Canis lupus familiaris: one gene and its partner. The protein of the gene in region 2 purifies or fractionates together with the protein of the main gene of each other region. This does not show direct contact. Links are inferred from orthologs where the notes say so. Each region holds a gene or a part of one and is shown on either strand. Other genes may lie near its edges.

Evidence for each region.
Region 1: the proteins of PDE6D (region 2) and RAB28 purify together in Homo sapiens (affinity purification with mass spectrometry; 3 studies listed by BioGRID and IntAct, with this or other methods). This does not show direct contact. The link is inferred for Canis lupus familiaris from reciprocal best matches to the Homo sapiens genes PDE6D and RAB28.

Annotation. Positions count from the first base shown.
Region 1 is NC_049224.1:67,143,422-67,152,339, reverse strand, and holds the start of RAB28 (ras-related protein Rab-28), read right to left. Parts: upstream 5,946-8,918; 5' UTR 5,716-5,945; coding exon 5,641-5,715; intron 1,008-5,640; coding exon 911-1,007; intron 1-910.
Region 2 is NC_049246.1:43,814,426-43,823,170, forward strand, and holds the start of PDE6D (retinal rod rhodopsin-sensitive cGMP 3',5'-cyclic phosphodiesterase subunit delta), read right to left. Parts: upstream 5,159-8,745; 5' UTR 5,100-5,158; coding exon 5,050-5,099; intron 1-5,049. UniProt on the Homo sapiens protein: Promotes the release of prenylated target proteins from cellular membranes. Modulates the activity of prenylated or palmitoylated Ras family members by regulating their subcellular location.

The DNA of each region.
Region 1 (8,918 bases), on a different chromosome or scaffold from region 2:
AACATATTTCAATAATATTGGAATTTATTAAACCCCTTCCCACTATATCACTCATGCTCCAGTATATGAATCTGACACTACACTTGCAACCGTTTTTATTCAAATGTGTTTCCTCAGAGAGGAGAGGGATGGACTGGTTTAGAAAGTCAATCAAGATAAACTGCTTTTAATAAAATACTTTAAACATATAATTTAACCATCACAAATGAATGGACAGAGCATTTTAAAGCCCCAATTGTTCAGAAACTAACTTAAAACAGAAACCACTCTCTTTTTGTTATTATTTCCCTGTATTTCCCACAAAATGTGCTGCAACTGGCATCTAAATAGTTTCTTTGCATGGTGAACTGAAACATCTTGAATGCTCAAACTGTATTTTTATGAGTGCCTAGGGACCCTAAATTTTAGTGGTCTATTAAATGCCAGCAATTTCATGCTGCCTTGCATAAAACAGCATTCACATATTAGAGCACAGAAGTTCCATAGCTACATTATACTTCTGTTCCAACTTTCTCTCGAACAAAAAACTGAAGCAGAGGCTAATCAAAATAATATTTTAAAAAAATAATCCTTTCCAGTCTTTTCACATTTAGTTTACATGATATCTGTTTATAACTGTATAGCATTTGATTTTTTTTAAACTTCTTAGAATTTTATAAGCAACTATTGTTTATCCTTGAAAAATGTGTGGAGTGGTCAAAAACAGCGGGAAAGTAGGGGAATATATAAACTTTTCTCTCACACCCATGGACAGTATGTCTTCATGGTAGATGCTAATTAAAGCTAATCTAAGATAGATTTGCTAATTATATATATTTTCATGCAGATGCAGCCCCCAAATTTATTTTACACATTTCTGTTATTGTAAGATATGTACCATTTTCTATGTTAAGAGTTTTTACTCTCTTACCTGGAAGTGTTATCCTTCTCAAAAAGAAATCCAGTCCTATAGTTTGTTTGTACTGTTTCCCAAAAGTTTCTTGAGCAAAGCACGTAGCTAAGGAGGTCTAAAAAAATTGATGCACAGAATATCAAAATTAATGACTCTGTTTTAAAAATATAAACATAAAATCATTACTAAACCTTACTAAATAATCTTAGTAGTTACACTACCATTAATCCAACAAACAACTTTAAGCAGTTCTCATCAGTTACAAAGGGAGGAGAGACTTAACACTTCACCAGGTAAATTTCACTTGCCAACAGCTATCAGTGGGAACAAAAGACTAATCTGTTAGATCTCCTTAAATCCCTTGATAGTCAAGCTCCTTCTCCTTGCTAGAAATTAGAATTTGAGATTTATCAACAAGAAAAGTAAAACAACACAACTAAAGATCTGAATCCTATATATCAATATAAATCAGTTTAACACAAATTTCAAAGAACTCTAAATTTCATGTCTGAGGTTAAATATTCTGAATATCTGTGCTCTCAGCCAAAAATAAGAAGTACTAATTAAAAGGGGAAAACCTATTCATAAAATTTTTCTTTTTTCCCTACAAAAAAAGTATCTTTAAATGTCTAATTTTTCTCTAAATTAAAGATGTTAAATGAAAATGATCCTACAGTATGATTGAGATAATATTTATCTTTAAAATTTAAAAGTCAGTACTTTTAAGACTAATATTAGCAAAGTAAGTATTTTCCATCCAACAACCATAAAGATTAATGAATACTATAACCAGAACACACATACATAGATCTACACTTTTTTTTTTAATAAAGTTGTATTCAAAACTCAGGAGTACCGTTTCCTATCAAAGAAGAATTAAAATCATTCTGGTAACAACTGAAATAATAACTTAAAAGCTTCTTAAACATTTGAAATGCACTATTTGTAAACTTCACCAAAAAGAAGAAAGGCAGCTTCAAGAGAAGCTTTCATGCTCTTTAAGAAAGACTACCCAAGTGAAAATAGCCCTTTTCTATTTTAAAAGTTAAAATTAGATGTCAATTCCCAAAATAATGAAAACTAAAATAAAATTTCCAAAATAGCTTAGTATAATTAATTATGACATAAGTACAGCAATGCAAAAGAAAACTTGGCCAAATTTCAATTCCTTCAAACAAAAAACCTAAAATTCCTTTGGACACAAAAGCCATATTTTTCACACAGATGACAATTTGTACATCCTAACTCTAATTCTTTTATTAAATATTCAGCATTTGTAATAATTGAGATATATTGCCAAATATTTATTGAGCACCATAAGAAAGATGTTCTCCTAAGCACTTAGAAATAAACTCACTACACCCAAATGAATATTTCTTTGGCTTCCTGAAGCATGTAACAATAATATAAAAACTAAGAGACTGGAATAAAAAAAGGTAAGCATTCTTTTTTAAAACTTTTTGGGTTTCATTTAGCTTTATTTATGCCATTGAACTTGTTTAACTTAGGGTACAGAATCTTCTGTTAAGAGGCTCAGAGTTACAGAGAAAAATAATTGCCACTATTTATTACAGATATTTCAAAATGTTTAATATAGAGATGGTAGATAAAGTTCTACAAGACAAAGAGAAACTCAAGGTACAAGTAACAGCATAGTGCCATTTAAGGTAATTTTTCACTTTCACGTAAGGTTCTCGGAGTTCAGTACTTTTATATTAATGAATATTTTAAAAATCCAAGGGTTCTTTTTTTGGAAATAGGACTTTGAGATTCTGAAAGCCTTACCCTCACACTTTTGAGGCAAACATAAAACTAAGATTTTTGATTAGAATAAAGTATAATCTGTCAAAAGCAGGGGGCTTGGGAACACAGAATATTAAAATGGGTTCTTATACCATTTCTAGACATACCATAAAAATTAAACAGAGAATCAACTGAATCAGTGGTAGGCACTTCCTCTTCAATACTCTAGACTCTCTGGCCTCTTTCACATTCAATAATTTCTCTCAAGTCATTATATAAATACCCTTCTTAAATAATTGTGAGGTGAACAATCATCTACCATATCTGAAACATCTTTATCTGATCCTTTACATTGTTTTGCTTGGTGAGCTCCTGCTAACAATTTTTACCATACTACATTTACTAATACAAAAAAAAAAAAAAAGACCAAGAAAGAATATTTTGCCTCAAAAAATCTTAAGAAATATGTAATAAAATCAAAAGTATGAATCAAAACAGAAAGAAACAGAAACACATGTTACTAGGAGGAGGAGCAAAATTTCTCTTGGAGAAACTGTTAATGATGATTATCTCAATACTCGATTGCTCCCGTCAATGTGTATTTAAAGTCAACATGTACTTAAATGTCATTAAGTTAAAACTGACAAGAAAAACTAATGCTAGAAAATATAGCCACGAGTTCAATCAGGATACAAATAAGAATGAAATGAAAGAGGCTGAATTCATATAAGGATAGTAAAGGAAATAGAATGGGACTGTTGGTAGCTGCCAATAACTTGAGAGCTGAATAGGGTATGGCAAAGAAAAAAGCTTGATACACAAATAATGAAAAAAGGTTAGGTTTCTGACTTTGGTATCTGAAAATCTCTGGCAGAAAACGCCTTTACAGTTTTAAAAGAGATTAGTTAAGATGATAAAGACTAAATCAGAACCCCATAGAGAGTTATCACTCTTACCCTTTTAAGCAGAATGATAGTCCTAATTCAACAATATGGAAGAGAAAGAAATCATGTCTTGTCCTACACTAGACAGAATTTTAGACAGATGAAAACCCACAATTATTCACACTAAATTAGCAAAGAGAAGAAAACATAGAACAGGCTAAATAAAAAACCCAGATACAAGGTGATGAACAAACTTCAACTAGTAACACATGTATGAAACTGATACATACTGGGAGAAAAAAAGAAATTAACAGAAGCTTAAAGAATTATGATAGAATGTAGGGTAATGGGCAATTTTTTGTCTCTTTTAACAACCGTTATCAGTGCTATAGATCGTCGTGGTAATTTTAAGCAGAAAACAAATTCATTTATGAGTTGACCGTAAAAGGATTTAGGAAATGAAAAAATCAGAAGGTATTCGAAAGAAAATCGAATAATAAAAATACTGTGCAAATACACCTTAAAATTTTTATTGAATAAGAGTGTTAGAAACAATGGTGATTTATCTAAAACAACCGAACCATTCAAAAAGTTGCTTCCCCAAAACCTTTAAAGGTCATCAGAGCATATTAGGTTTGCTTTCCCTCAGCAACAAAAAGCAGTGACAAAATATCCTCCGGGAAGGCAAGAAGGAAATAACAGAATGCTCCAAATTTTGCACACGAAGGACCCCTCTCCCAGGTGCCCTAGGATCTCAAGTCTCAGAAACCACGACAGGAGCGGCTCTGCAAGGGCCAACCGCCAGGGAGACGCAAGGAGCAGCCGTCACCACGGAAACCACGGTCCAGGCTGCACCAGTAACCGGGAATCGTGACGCCGGAAACCGGTCACCACAACAACCTGCGCTTCTGGGGACTCTGGCTGGGAACAGGGAGGGAAGAAGAAAAGGAGACGGACTTTAGCAATATTCCCAGAAGCAGTGTTGGCGCCTGGGACAGAAGCGACAGGTGTGAAGACACCCGGGGCAGAGGCGCTTCACTCCATGGGGGGGGGGGGCGGTCGTTGACCCTTCCGAGGTCCCACGGACCCTCCCCCAAAGAGCCAGCATCCAGAGATGAGGATCCCATTTCCGGAGCTCCACAACCCAGAGTTAAAGACCCTATAGCCCAGCATGTAAGCAGCCTGGATGTCGGAGAGCCCCGGGCACTCAGTGTCCTTTATTCAGCCCAGCCGGCACCAACCCCCAGGCCCTAAAGTAGGACCCCCCGCCGTCCGGGGCGCAGCTCTACCCGCAGCATCCAGCCCCCTAGCTGGAGCTCGACGGGTATCTGCGGAATGAATGCTTGTGCCGACAGGTGCTGTGCCAGGAGCAAGGACCAACAGGTACGATGCCATAAAAACAGCAACTAGCGTTCACTGAGCGCGCAACCATGTCCTGAAACCTTTACGTGGGTTTTCACGTTTCACGTGTATTTTTGCACACCTCGCCCTTGGAGGCGATCCCTGGCAATACCCACCTGACCGCTGGAGCACAAGGAGGTCAGCGAGTTTGCCCTCCAATGTCCCGACCCGCTAGGGAAAGGAGCCCCAGTGGTCACCCAGGGAATGGGATTCCGGAGCCAAGTCCTCGCGAGCTGCCAGCGCAGGGGAGGTGCGAGAAGCCGTCAAGGGGCCGGAGGGGGGAGGGGGAGGGGGAGGGCCCGGCATCGGGGGCGGGGGGGGGGGGCGGCGGCGAAGTGTGCCCTGGACTAAAGTAAAAAGGGGTGAGATGCCTTGGCAGGTCCTTGCCAGTCCCCGGGGGCGAAGAGCTGGGGAGCCTCCCGGAGGGCGATGCTGGCCCGACTCGAACAAGTAGGAGTTCGCGATCCAGGCGGGGAGGTGGGAAGTGACTTTTTTTTTTTCCTTTTTTTTTTTTTTTTTTTTTTTTAATGTAAGGGGAGCTGGACAGCTCTCCTCAGCCTTCACCGGCGCCGACTGGATGCCTGGCCCCAGGCCACCTCCAGGCTGGCGGGCCCCGGCCCCGGCCCCGGCGGTAATGAGGCGACGCCGAGCGGCGGGGAGGAGGCGGGGGGTGCCGGGGTTCCTGCAGCCCGGGGACGGCGGGCCCGCTGGAGGACTGACCTTCCCGGAGGTGCCGTCCCCCAGCACGACGATTTTCAGTTGCCGGTCCTGGCTCTCCTCCTCCGAGTCCGACATGGTGTCCCGGGAACCAGGCCCGCTCCCCCACCCCCACCCCCACCCCCACCCCGAGGTAGAGGGAGGAAGGGTAGGGGGGGTCTCCGGGGGCGGGAGGAGAGGAGGACGGGCGGCAGTGGGGGCAGGACCCCCCGCCCGGGTGTCTCAGCGGCCGCTGGACGTAACTAGGGTGAATCACTCTCCGGGCGCCATCTTGCCCGCCTCTCCGCCCCTCCCCCCGCGCGCCGCCCCGCCCCCCGCGCGCTACGTCAGTCGCGCTCCCCCGCCTCTGCGCCAACCCGCGCCGACGCGAGCCGCCCTGGCAAGCCGGCCCATTCGCCGGCCTGGGATGGGGGAGGCGTTCGAGCCCAGCAGGGCGACACGGGCGTTAGTCCCGCAGGGGCGGCTGCGAAGAATAAAAGTAAAATGTAGCACTGTAACCAGGTAGGAAAACAGGAGCCGAGTGGCATTCGGATGTTCTATCATATTCCGTGTTTCCATCACCCCCTGAGCAGGTCCCCCACTGAAGCGAATGGTTTAGCCCGACGGGGGGGCGTGGACGCCTGGGACGCGCGCCACGGTTGCCATGGAAGCCGGGAGGAGGAGGAGAGGCGGAGGGGCGGGGCCTGTCTCCGGGCGCCCGGGAAGCGGGGTGCAGCGCGCGCAGCACCCGGCAGGGGCTCCCGGAGCTGGTCCCGGCGCCTGGGGGTCGCGCCCCGGGAGGAGCGTGGCCGCCGCGGAGGTTGCTGAGGACCTGTCCGCCTGCGGGAAAGCACCTTGAGTGGCCTTCAGTTTAACAGAGCTCTGGCTCTGCCTCTGGTTTTGACGTCTCAAACCGTGGATTCTCTGGACACAACAGAATTGGATGGTTCATTCATCAAGCAAGTAACCTAGAGCAGCAGTTCTCAAAGTGTGATCCGGAGAACCCTTGGGGGGGGGGCTCCAATAAAGTAAAAATATATATATTATTTTCATAATACTACCCTTTTTTTTTTTTTTTTTTTTTTGCCTTCTTCGCGTTCATTCTCTCACGAGTAGAAGTTTTCCCGGGGATGCATGATGTCTATGATGTCATTGCTCTGGCAGTTAAGGAAGCAGGTGCTTGTTACAGAGTTAAGACTTTTTTTTTTTTTTAAGATTTTATTTATTTAAAAAATAAAGAGAGGCAGAGACACAAGCAGGCTCCATGCAGGGAGCCCGACCTGGGGCTGATTCCAGGTCTTCAGGATCAGGCCCGGGCTGAAGGCGGTGCTAAACCGCTGAGCCACCCGGGCTGCCCAAGTTTAAACATTTCTTAAATACTAATTTAAAAGCAGTAATGAGACCTATAGCTTACATAAACAAAAACTTTTTGAGATCTACAAACATTTAAGAGTGTAGAGAGGCCCAGAGCCCACAAAATGTAGGACCTGCTGTCCTGGATGATCTCGGTCCAGTACAGTAGGTAAAAGATGTCAGAAAAAATGAACAGAGTGAGATAAATTCTACAATAATAATGCCAACCTATTATGCCTGTCTCTTGTTGATGACAAGGATGATCACAGTTCATTCCTCATGAGAACCCTGTAAAGTAGGTAGAATTATCTCATTTTACAGATGAGTAAGCTTAAGGCACAAGAAGCTTAGCTCAGAGGCAGTGGTCTTGGAAAGAATGTAGGAAGTAGACTAGGAAAGCAGTACGGTTTTAAGAAATGCCCAGCCCTAGAGGGAGCATTGGAGTTTAATCACAGGTACCTGTGCTTGCTAGGTGTGTGACAGTCGACCTATAAAATAGAGGTACTACCTCCTTCACAGGTTGAAAATTAAATGAAGTAATCAATGTAAAGCACAATGCCTTATTAACAGATGTAATTATCAATTTCACCATTGTCAGTAGATATGGTCCATGTTGGGGCATCACTGCTTCTTAGCCATGTTACTTTAGACAGGTTTCATATGTAGATTACATTTAATTATACATTAATAGTTCATTCTCCTCCTTACATATTATTATACATTAATGATATGCCCCATGCATATAAGCATGTATATATTATGTATGCCAGCAGGACCCCCATGTATTGTCATACATTAATGATACACCCCATGCAAATAAGCATGTACATACAATTATTAATCTTGCATGAGACATTAAGCTAAACTAATCTCCATTAATACTTAAATTGGAATGCACTTCACTTATCCAAAAAAGACCTGATCAGCAAGCCTCGAAAAACCAGCAATCCTTGCACAAACGTGAACCTCTTCTCACTACAGACCTGTAACATGGGGGGGTTCCTATATTAAAACTATACCTGGCCTCTGGTTCTTACTTCAGGGCCATGTAACTCTACTACTACAAATCCTCTCAAATGGGACATCTGGAGGAACTAATGACTACTCAGCCCACAATCGCACATAACTGTGGTGTCATGCATTTGGTACCTTTTAAATTTTAGGGGAAGAAAGCGCTATCATGTTCACCATAAAGGTCTCGATGCATAGAGCCTAGGTTCTTCATCTTTAGGTGGGATTAGTCCACAATAGTAGCTACCCTATTACTGTTATTAGCTCCCAGTACTTTCCCTACTCCCAACCATCACCACTAACAACTTCCTACATTACCATGTGTGTTAACGAGGATTGGCAGGAAAAAGTACCTGAAAGGGCTTTGCAAAGTTTTTTGTAAATGTTAGTTTGAGGAATCTGTTTCTCATGAAGACAGATTTAACCCCTTCTTGTCCATGAAGAGAGTTACTATTGCAGAAATTTGCTTTTACATTCGTCCTTAACGGAAATGATTATGTAACCCAGCTCTGACCAATGAGACAGAAGAGGATGTCTCCTTTGGGAGACATCTGGAAAAGATTTTCCTCCCTGATTAGAAAAAGAAGAAGAGGAGGGGTACCTAGATAGCTCAGTTGGTTAAGCATCAGACTCGTGATTTTGGCTCAGATCATGATCTCAGGGTCATGAGATTAAGCCCCAGGTCATCGGGCTCCAATCTGGGCATGAAGCCTGCTTAAGATTCTTTCTCTCCTGGGCAGCCCTGGTGGCTTAGTGGTTTAGTGCCGCCTTCAGCCCAGGGCCTGATCCTGGAGACCTGGGATCGAGTCCCATGTCGGGCTCCCTGTGTGGAGTCTGCTTGTGTCTCTGTCTCATGAATAAATAGATAAGATGTTTTTTGAAAAAGATTCTTTCTCTCCTCTCTCTCTACCCACCTCCCTCGCCTACATGCTTTCTCT
Region 2 (8,745 bases):
GACATGGAGCTTTATCTCATGACTCTGAGATCAAGACCTGAGCCAAAATCAAGAGTTGATGCTTAACTGACTAAGTCATCCAGGCGCTCCTTAAAGATTTTAAGAAATCTCTACACTCAACATGGGGCTCGAACTCACAACCCTGAGATTAAGAGCCACATGTTCTACCAACTGAGCCAGTCAGGGGCCCCTGTAGGCAGTCATTTATTTTCTAGATATTATATTAACTTCTGCAGTATAAGTAAATAGGGGCAATTAGCTAATCATCAGAGAAAAAGTTAAATCACTACTTCATACCTTAGACTCAAGCAAATCCCAGATGGAGTAAAATAATAAAATTATAAAAGCATAGTTTTTCTTATGGTAGCCTGCAGTTTCTTGATATTAATAAAGCTGTATATAGCTATAAATATGTATATATTAAAACTATTCTCACAGTTGAAAATCAATGTCTAATTTTTTACTTCTCCAAAACTTATTTACTAATAACCCATTGATGACTAGACTTACTAATATAAAGTCAATTAACCTGTATTTTATATATGTATTATGTACCATATTCTTTTTTTTTTTTTAAAGATTTTACCTATTTATTCATGAGAGAGAGAGAGAGAGAGAGAGAGACGCAGAGACACAGGCAGAGGGAGAAGCAGGCCCCATGCAAGGAGCCCGATGTGGGACTCCATCCCGGGTCTCCAAGATCACACCCTGGGCTGAAGGCTGTGCTAAACTGCTGAGCCACCCGGGCTGCCCTATGTACCAGATTCTTACAATAAAATAAGTTGGAAGAAAAATGTTATTAAGAAAATCATGAGAGAAAACATATTTACAATACTGTAAAACCATACTCTATACTGTAGTTACTGAAAAAATTCTTGTCAGTGGACCTGTATGTAAACCAGTTTTGTTCAAGCGTCAACTATATTTGTGGTGAGGAAGAGCAGTTTGAATAGGCAAAACAGTGCATTATACAGACTACACTAGAACACTGTGTAAGAGGACTGTGACAAATCTATGTCATGGAAAGCAATGAAAAGTAATTATCTTTGGAAATTATGAATATGGTAAACTTATTATTAAGTGAAAAAATAAGTTAAGAAATAATGCTTATGATTTAATTTTTATAAAAGCAAATACATTAGCTACACTGGAAGACTACATTAAAAAAAATCAAAAAGGTGGGACGCCTGGGTGGCTCAGTGGTTAAGCATTTGCCTTCAGCTCAGTGCGTGATCTCGGAGTTTCGGGATTGAGTCCCACATCGGGCTCCCTGCATGGAGCCTGCTTCTCCCTCTGCCTGTGTCTCTGCCTCTCTCTCTGTGTCTCTCATGAATAAATAAGACTTTTTAAAGGTCATTTCTGGGTGGCTAGAGTATGTAACAGAAAAAATAAATACCATTTTATTTTATTTTTAAAAAGATTTTATGTATTTATTAGAGATGGGGAGAGAGATGGGCGGGGGGGGGGGTGGGGCGCACAGACACAGGCAGAGGGGGAAGCAGGCCCCATGCAAGGAGCCTGATGTGGGACTGGATCTCCAGTCTCCAGGATCACGCCTTGGGCTGAAGGCAGCGCTAAACAGTTAAGCCACCAGGGCTGCCCCAAATACCATTTTAAAACAGCACAAGAAGTTAGATTTCTACCACATATCATTTGTGTAAAAACATTTCAGGTGGAAATGAAAACATAGAATATTTAATTTTAGGATAAGGAAGGTCTAGTTTTATTTAGTTATAACAATTCATTTAATCTGTATTGCAAACCTATGTAGTAGATACTATGATTTTTATCCATTTGAATATTAAAGAAATGGATGGAAAGGGAGTTGAGTGACTTGCCCAAGGTCAGGAAGGTCTTCTTAAGACACAAAATACAGGAGTACCTGGGTGGCTCAGTTGCTTTAGCATCGGGGACTCTTGATTTTGGCTAAGGTCATGATCTCAAGGTGGTACTGAGCTCCATCTTGTGCTTTGCATCAGCCAGTCTGCTTGAGATTCTCTCCCTCTCCCTCTCTCTCTCTGCCCCTCCACCTGATTCCATGTGTGTGTGGAGAATGTGCATGCCCATGTGCCCTCTCTCTCTCAAAAAAAGAAATAAATCTTTAAGACACAAAATGCAGAAGCCATATGGAAAATGCTGATGAATTTGAAATGATAATTTAAAATTTGTTCAACAGGGTGGCCTGGGTGACTCAGTCAGTTAAGCATCTGTCTTCAGAGTCCTGGGATGAAGTCCCTCTCCCTCTGGCCTTCCCTCATGCTCATGCTCTCTCTCAATATAACATCCTTAAAAATAAATAAATAAATAAATAAATAAATAAATAAATAAATAAATAAAATTTGTTCAACTAAAAAGGAGATGAACAATATATTGATGGAAAATATTTGCAACATACAGAACAGGCAAATGATATTAAGGCACACACACAAACCAGTAAGTAAAAAATTCAATAGTAAAATGGGCAAAAAACAAAATCAACAAGTGATTCACAGAAAAGGAACTGCCAAACAGAAGATTTTGCAACTTCTCTAACAATAATAAGAGCTAATATATAATGTTTACTAGGCATCAGGTGCTTTTCTAAATGCTTCAGCTATCAACTCATTCAATCTTCGTAACAACCCTATGAGATAAGTACTATTTTTAACCCCATTTACAGATGAGGAAATTGAGGCTGAGGTTAAATGAGTTGCTCAGGGACAACCAAGAGTGTAGGGCTGGGATTCCAACACAGAACAGCTCTACAGTCCAGAATTCTTCTTAACCACTATGCTCTATTACCTGTCCAGGGATCTAGATATCCAGGGAAATACAAATTAAAATAAGGTATCACTTGTCTAAATTGGCAAAAATATAAAAGACAGAGTCAATGTGGAACTGAGCACTGTCAACATCGCTGGTAGGAGACTCTAATGGTGCTTTCTTTTGGTAGAAAAAAACTCTTACAGAAACAGATTCAATGAAAGTTCAGAAAAACAATTCACCCAATAAAAAAGGTGGACAATAAGCAGTTTGTTTTACTAAAAGATTGTGTTTTCCTGAAGGTAGTAGCAAATTCTAGAACTCCTTTCCTTTCTCTCTTAATCCTCAGATGTCAATAAAGGCTACCAGAGGATGAGCATCCTCTTGCTCCCATGCTAACTTTTTTATGCGGCTGCTTCCCTTGAGATTTAATCAGCTCAGGTCAAACCTTCTCTGAAAGCCTGTTTCTTAATACACTAACGTCATCATTGAACTGGTTAATTCACCTGATGATGATTTCTACTCTTTTCCACATGTGTCCCTTAACCTCTTTCTCAACAGCTTCAAGAGCCCAGACTGAGGTAAGAAGTTTCTTTGTTTGAAAACCATTAAAAAGATTCTTTCTTGTTTTCAGCAGTATGTTAATTCCAATTGGACCAAAAACGTTGCTTCTGAAATCTCTCAATTCCCCAGTCTCTGATTTTACTATCTACAGTATACATGTAACTAACAATACAAATTACTTAGGGGAAAAATAAAATCCATGTCACAGCTTTTCTAAGACTTCAGCCATCCCTATTTACTTATAGGTGCCATTATGAAAAAAGACACCGAAAGGTACACGAAGCTATAAAAAGAGGCTTTTACTAAACTTTACCACGAATGACCTTATGCCTAGTGTATAATGCCTTCCGTTTTTTTTCAAAAGAAGCATAGCAGATCAGCTTCCATTTGAAACTTTTCATTTGTATATCTAAAATGTCCTGTAACTTTTTTGTTGTTGTTGTTGTTGTTGCATTTTGGGTTCTAAAATTTACTACCAACTTGCTTTCTGACTGTGAAAAGCAATTAAAATTTCCAGCGGTGAAATGGGCATCGTGAAAACACAAAGGCAGCTCAGAGAACAGTGCTTCACTAAATCTCCTTTGGGGGGGTGGGGGGAGACCTAAAGTGATGACTACAACTTCACGGAGAGAAGAATTTGAGAACGTTCCATTTTGTACGCACGGGATGTAAAAAGAGATTTAAGCTCAGCAGGAAAATGTGAAATTGGAATGTCCAGGTTTGCCTATTTTTCATCCGCATCCTATGGTCACAGACAGACACTCCATTTAAACACGAGGCTTCCTAATACGTTAAAGAGAGAAAGAAGGTTGCACAAGCGGCACCACAACAGGCCAGGCCTGGGGCAATGATTTCTAGATCCTGCTAAATCCTACCGTGTCCCCAAAGTAATCAAATAATTGCTGGACAGCTCCACCTGGTCTCCGCGTGAACCTCACAAACGCAAGCGCGCAGATACCTTTGCCAGGAGTCCCGGTGCAAAACCAAAACACCTCAAGGCATCTCACGCTCGAGTGCAGGGTCCTCACTTCGCTGGACAGAAAAGTGAAAGGCTGAGAGAGAAGCTGCCACCATCCAGTGCCTCACAAGGCCAAGAGAGTGTTAAGATGAGGTGGATCCCGGGCTTCTCTTGGCCCACCTTCCTCTCTGCTCCAGCCCTGGAAGGAGCCACAAGTGAGGCAGAGAAGTTGTGGAAACAAGGAGGGGGTGGCGTAGAGGGGGGGACGGGGGAACCCGGGAGAGTTCAGCACAAGCATTTGCATTTGTCCCACCCAAGGTCACTCGCTCCGAGTCACTTTTCCCTGCTCCCCCGGGGCCTTCCCGCCAAACGGGCTGCAGGGCTGCGAGGCCAGCCCCCCGCGCCCCTCGGCCCTCCCTGCGGGCCGCAGCCCCCCTTCTGGCCTCCGGGCGCGGGCCGAGGCTCGGACCCAAGCCGGCCTCACCGCCACGCGTTTCCGACGCCCGCCGCGTCTCCCAGCCCAATTCGGACAGGGGCTCCTCCACTCCAGCCCCCGGCTCCCGGCAACGTCTCCTTCCTCCCTCAGGACGCCCCCTGCCCCGCCTCCAGTACCCGGTCCCGCCGGGGGGACCGGGACGCCGTTCCCTCGGTCCCCTCCGTCCCCTCCCGCCGCGCTCCCGTCCCGAGCCCAGCAGGCGCGGCCCCCGCCCCCGGCCCGTCTCCTCCGCCAGCGGCCGCCCCCCAAGTCCTCCCGGCCCCGCCCCGCCCCACTCCCGGGCGGATACAGTTTGAAGCCCTTCAGGATCTCCCTGGCCCTCTCGTCCTTGGCTGACATGATGCGGCGGCCGCCGCCCGCGGCTCTCCCACGCTGGCCCGGCGGAGCCTCGCAGACGGTGCCCAGGAACCGAGGACGGAGCCGCAGCGCGGCCTGGAGACCTCCAGCGAGCAGCGGCAGCGGCCAGACCCGGACCGGCCTCTCCCTCCCCTCAGCTCCCGCTCCTGATCCCTTCTCCTTCCCCCTAGCCTCGGAGCGCCCGCCCCAAAGCCAATGGAAAGCCCTCCTCGCCGATTGGCATCCCGAGCAGCCAATAGAAACATTCAGCGGCTTCGCCGGGGGACGACGAGCGTCAGTGGGAAGGGCCCTCCCCGGGAAGTCCCGTAGGACAAATTTTTCTTTAGGTCTTGTTGCCTAGAGTTTGCCCCAGCGGAGGGTTGGCTTCAGATCTGCAGAGGCTCGAGGGGCCCGCTCCCTCCGCGGGGCACACTAGGGCGCTGAAATGACGGCGGGTTGCCCTGTGCGATGTGAGAGAGACTACATTTCCCAGCATTCCGGGGGAGTGCCCGGGGGAACCACAGATCCCATCACGCAACAAAGAGGCCCGGGGACTACAAATCCCAGCATTCCCTGCACCCTGTTCCTCTGTAACTTAGACTCCAGTGTGCCGCGCAGTGTGCGCAAATTCGTAAACCTTCCCTCAGCCTTGGGGGTTTCTGAATTCGGAGACTTGAAACTGGGCGGGAAGACCCCCTTAACTCTCAGAAGAGGATGACAGCCCACAGGGAGGTAACATCTGTTTACATGGAACTCAGAAATCTCCTGCAAATCATGGTAAGGCTGCAAACAACAAACAAAAACACTTGATTAAACCACGGAAGATAAAATGACTCCTTTAAATCGTGCTTGTTTGTTGGTCTGGGGCGCCTTTTACTTGTTTTGCAGGGGTTTCTGGTGTGCTCCTGCGTTGGGCTGGGAGAGATATGGATCGTATACTCAGACTCTCCCTACCGGAAGGGATATTAAGAGAATTTGCCAAACCACCCTCTGTTGTTTTACATACGAGGAAACTGAGGCCCCAGAGAGGCGAAGCGATCGTCCACTGGTTACAGCAACTTGGGACAGAGTTAGAATTCGGCTCTAAGTCTCCTGACCCTCAGTTTGGGCTGTTTACACCACACTGAGGTGGCGATATTTTTAGCAGCATGGCTGTGTGATTATTATTTTCCTTAGTGAAGTATCCTCATCCAGGTTGAAACACCCAGAGGTTAGGTAAGCATTCATTTTGGTGGATTTCCTGTAAGTGAAGGAGTGTGATGTTTGTTTATCTTCAGTCTAGGAAGGACTTAGTGTTTTGATTTGTTATTTGTTGCTCAAGGTGACATTTAATGTGATTTCAGGAACTAGGTAAAATTGTAGCGTAAGCTAAGGTTTCCTTGGACATCTCCTATCTCTTTTCCGAGGCCTTCCTTCCTCTTCCCGTCCCCCTTTCACCCATCTGGGCACCCACCCAATTTTTCCTTCCATGTAATTCAACAAAGAGCCTTTTCAGGTTTCCGGTAAAGGGTGAAAAGGCATTGTCACTGCCTCCAGGAAGATAACCATCTAGTTAGGAAAAAAAGGAGACTCTGCTGAGATTCAAGATGAACTGCAATAAATGTCATAAAGGAAAGGTCATCAGAATGCTACAGAGGTTCTGATGGAAAGATCAGATCCAGCTGGCAAAACTTGATGGAGGAGGTGGCATTTGAATTTGAACGATGGGTGGATTTTTTTTTTTCCTGTTAAAAAAACTTTATCTTAAAATTTTTTTGTTCATGAGGTATGACATGCAGGAAGGGCACAGTTTTGACATTTGTATACATCTGTGTCACCACCCCCCAAATCAAAATATAGAACATTTCTGGCACCCCTGTGCCCCTTCCCAATCAGCACTGCATCCTCCCATCCCGATAACTATTCTGACTTCTATTACCATAAATCAGTTTTGTTGTGAATTTCATTTAAATGTAATCATACAGTATGTACAGTAGGAGCCTGGCTTTTTTTCTTCATCAGTTGTGTGTTTTTTTTTTTTTTTTTTTTGTGAGATTCATCCATGTTGTATGTAGCAGCTTTTTTTTTTTTTAATTACTGACTAGTATTCTATTGTGTGTATCTAGCAATATTTATCTGTTCTATTGATGGGTATTTATGTTATCAGTTAACAGTTTTTGGCTTTTGTTAAAGCTGCAATGCGCATTCTTATAGGTTTCTTTTTGTAGACTGCACTTATTTCTAGGAGAGGAATGGCTGGCTTGTACAGTATGCATATGATCAGCAACAGTATGTCAGTTTTCCAAAGTGTTTGTATCATTTTCCCTTTCACCTGCAACGTAAGAAAATTCTAGTTGACTCTTATCCTTGTCAAAACAGGTTCTTTGGGCAGCCCGGGTGGCTCAGTGGTTTAGCACCGCCTTCAGCCCAGGGCATGATCCTGGAGACCTAGGATTGAGTCCCAGTCAGGCTTCCTGCATGAAGCCTGCTTCTCCCTCTGCCTGTCTCTGCCTCTCTTTCTCTCTGTCTCTCATGAATAAATAAATAAAATCTTAAAAAAAAAACCAACCAGGGTCTTAGAGGTCTTTCTAACTTTAGCTCTTTTGGCTATAAATGTGGTATCTTATTACAGTCTTTTCTTGCATTGTCTCTGATGTTGAGCACTTTTCATATGATTTTTAATTATTTCAGTGTTTTCTTTTGTAAAGTGCTTGTTCAAGTCTTTTCCCTACTTTTTAAATTGGGCTTTTTGTCTACTTATTCATACTGATTTGTAGTTCTTTATGAAGTTTGGATATGGAGTTCTTTGATACAGGCTTCAGGAATATCTTTTCCAGCTCTGTGGCTTGCCTCTTCAGTCTCGCATTGGTGTCATTTGATAATCAGAAATTCTAAATTATAATGTAGTGTAGTAGCTCAGTGTTTTCTTTTATGATTAGTGCTTTTGTGCATTGAGTTTAAGAAATCTCTGCCTACAGGGTTGGTAGGATTTTAACAGGCAAAAATAGGAGGGAAGAGCATTGCAAAAAAGGATGGAGAGCAAGCTTGAGCATAGGCCCTGGTGTCAGAGAGGGAAGGTGGAGGTTGTGTTGGGCATAGGAAGGCCTAGGGTTTTGGCTGTAAGAGGGTGGGACGAGCCAAAGCTGGAAAGGTTGGAGGGAAGCATACTGAGAAGGGATTTCTCTGCAGCCCTGGAGTCTGGACATTATTCTGGAAGAAGTGGAAGTACTGCTAGAATATTTATGAACTCAAACAGAACTTAATTATCTTCCTATTACCGCAAATTTGCTTTTTTTCCTCTGCAGCCCCATTTACTTAGAAACATCACCTCTGAGTGAATAGCCAGAGTCTTGGGTGATACCCTTCTTCCCTATCCCTGCATTCAGCTGGTCAGCACATCGGACACATTCCATAGTCTAAATGCCTCCCACCACGTCCCTTCTGTTTCATGCCCAACTGCCACTGTCTTTGTTCAGGATCTCACAATCTCTTTTCTGTACTATATCAATCACCTCAAGAGTTTCCCTGCTTCCAGCTCTCTCCATATCCAATCCATTCTTATAGCAGCTAGTGTGAGCATTCTAAAGTGGCAATTATTCACACTTCTCCACAGGTTAAAAGCCCTAAGTTCTGCCACCCCCCAGCACCCTCAAGATAAAATAATAACTCC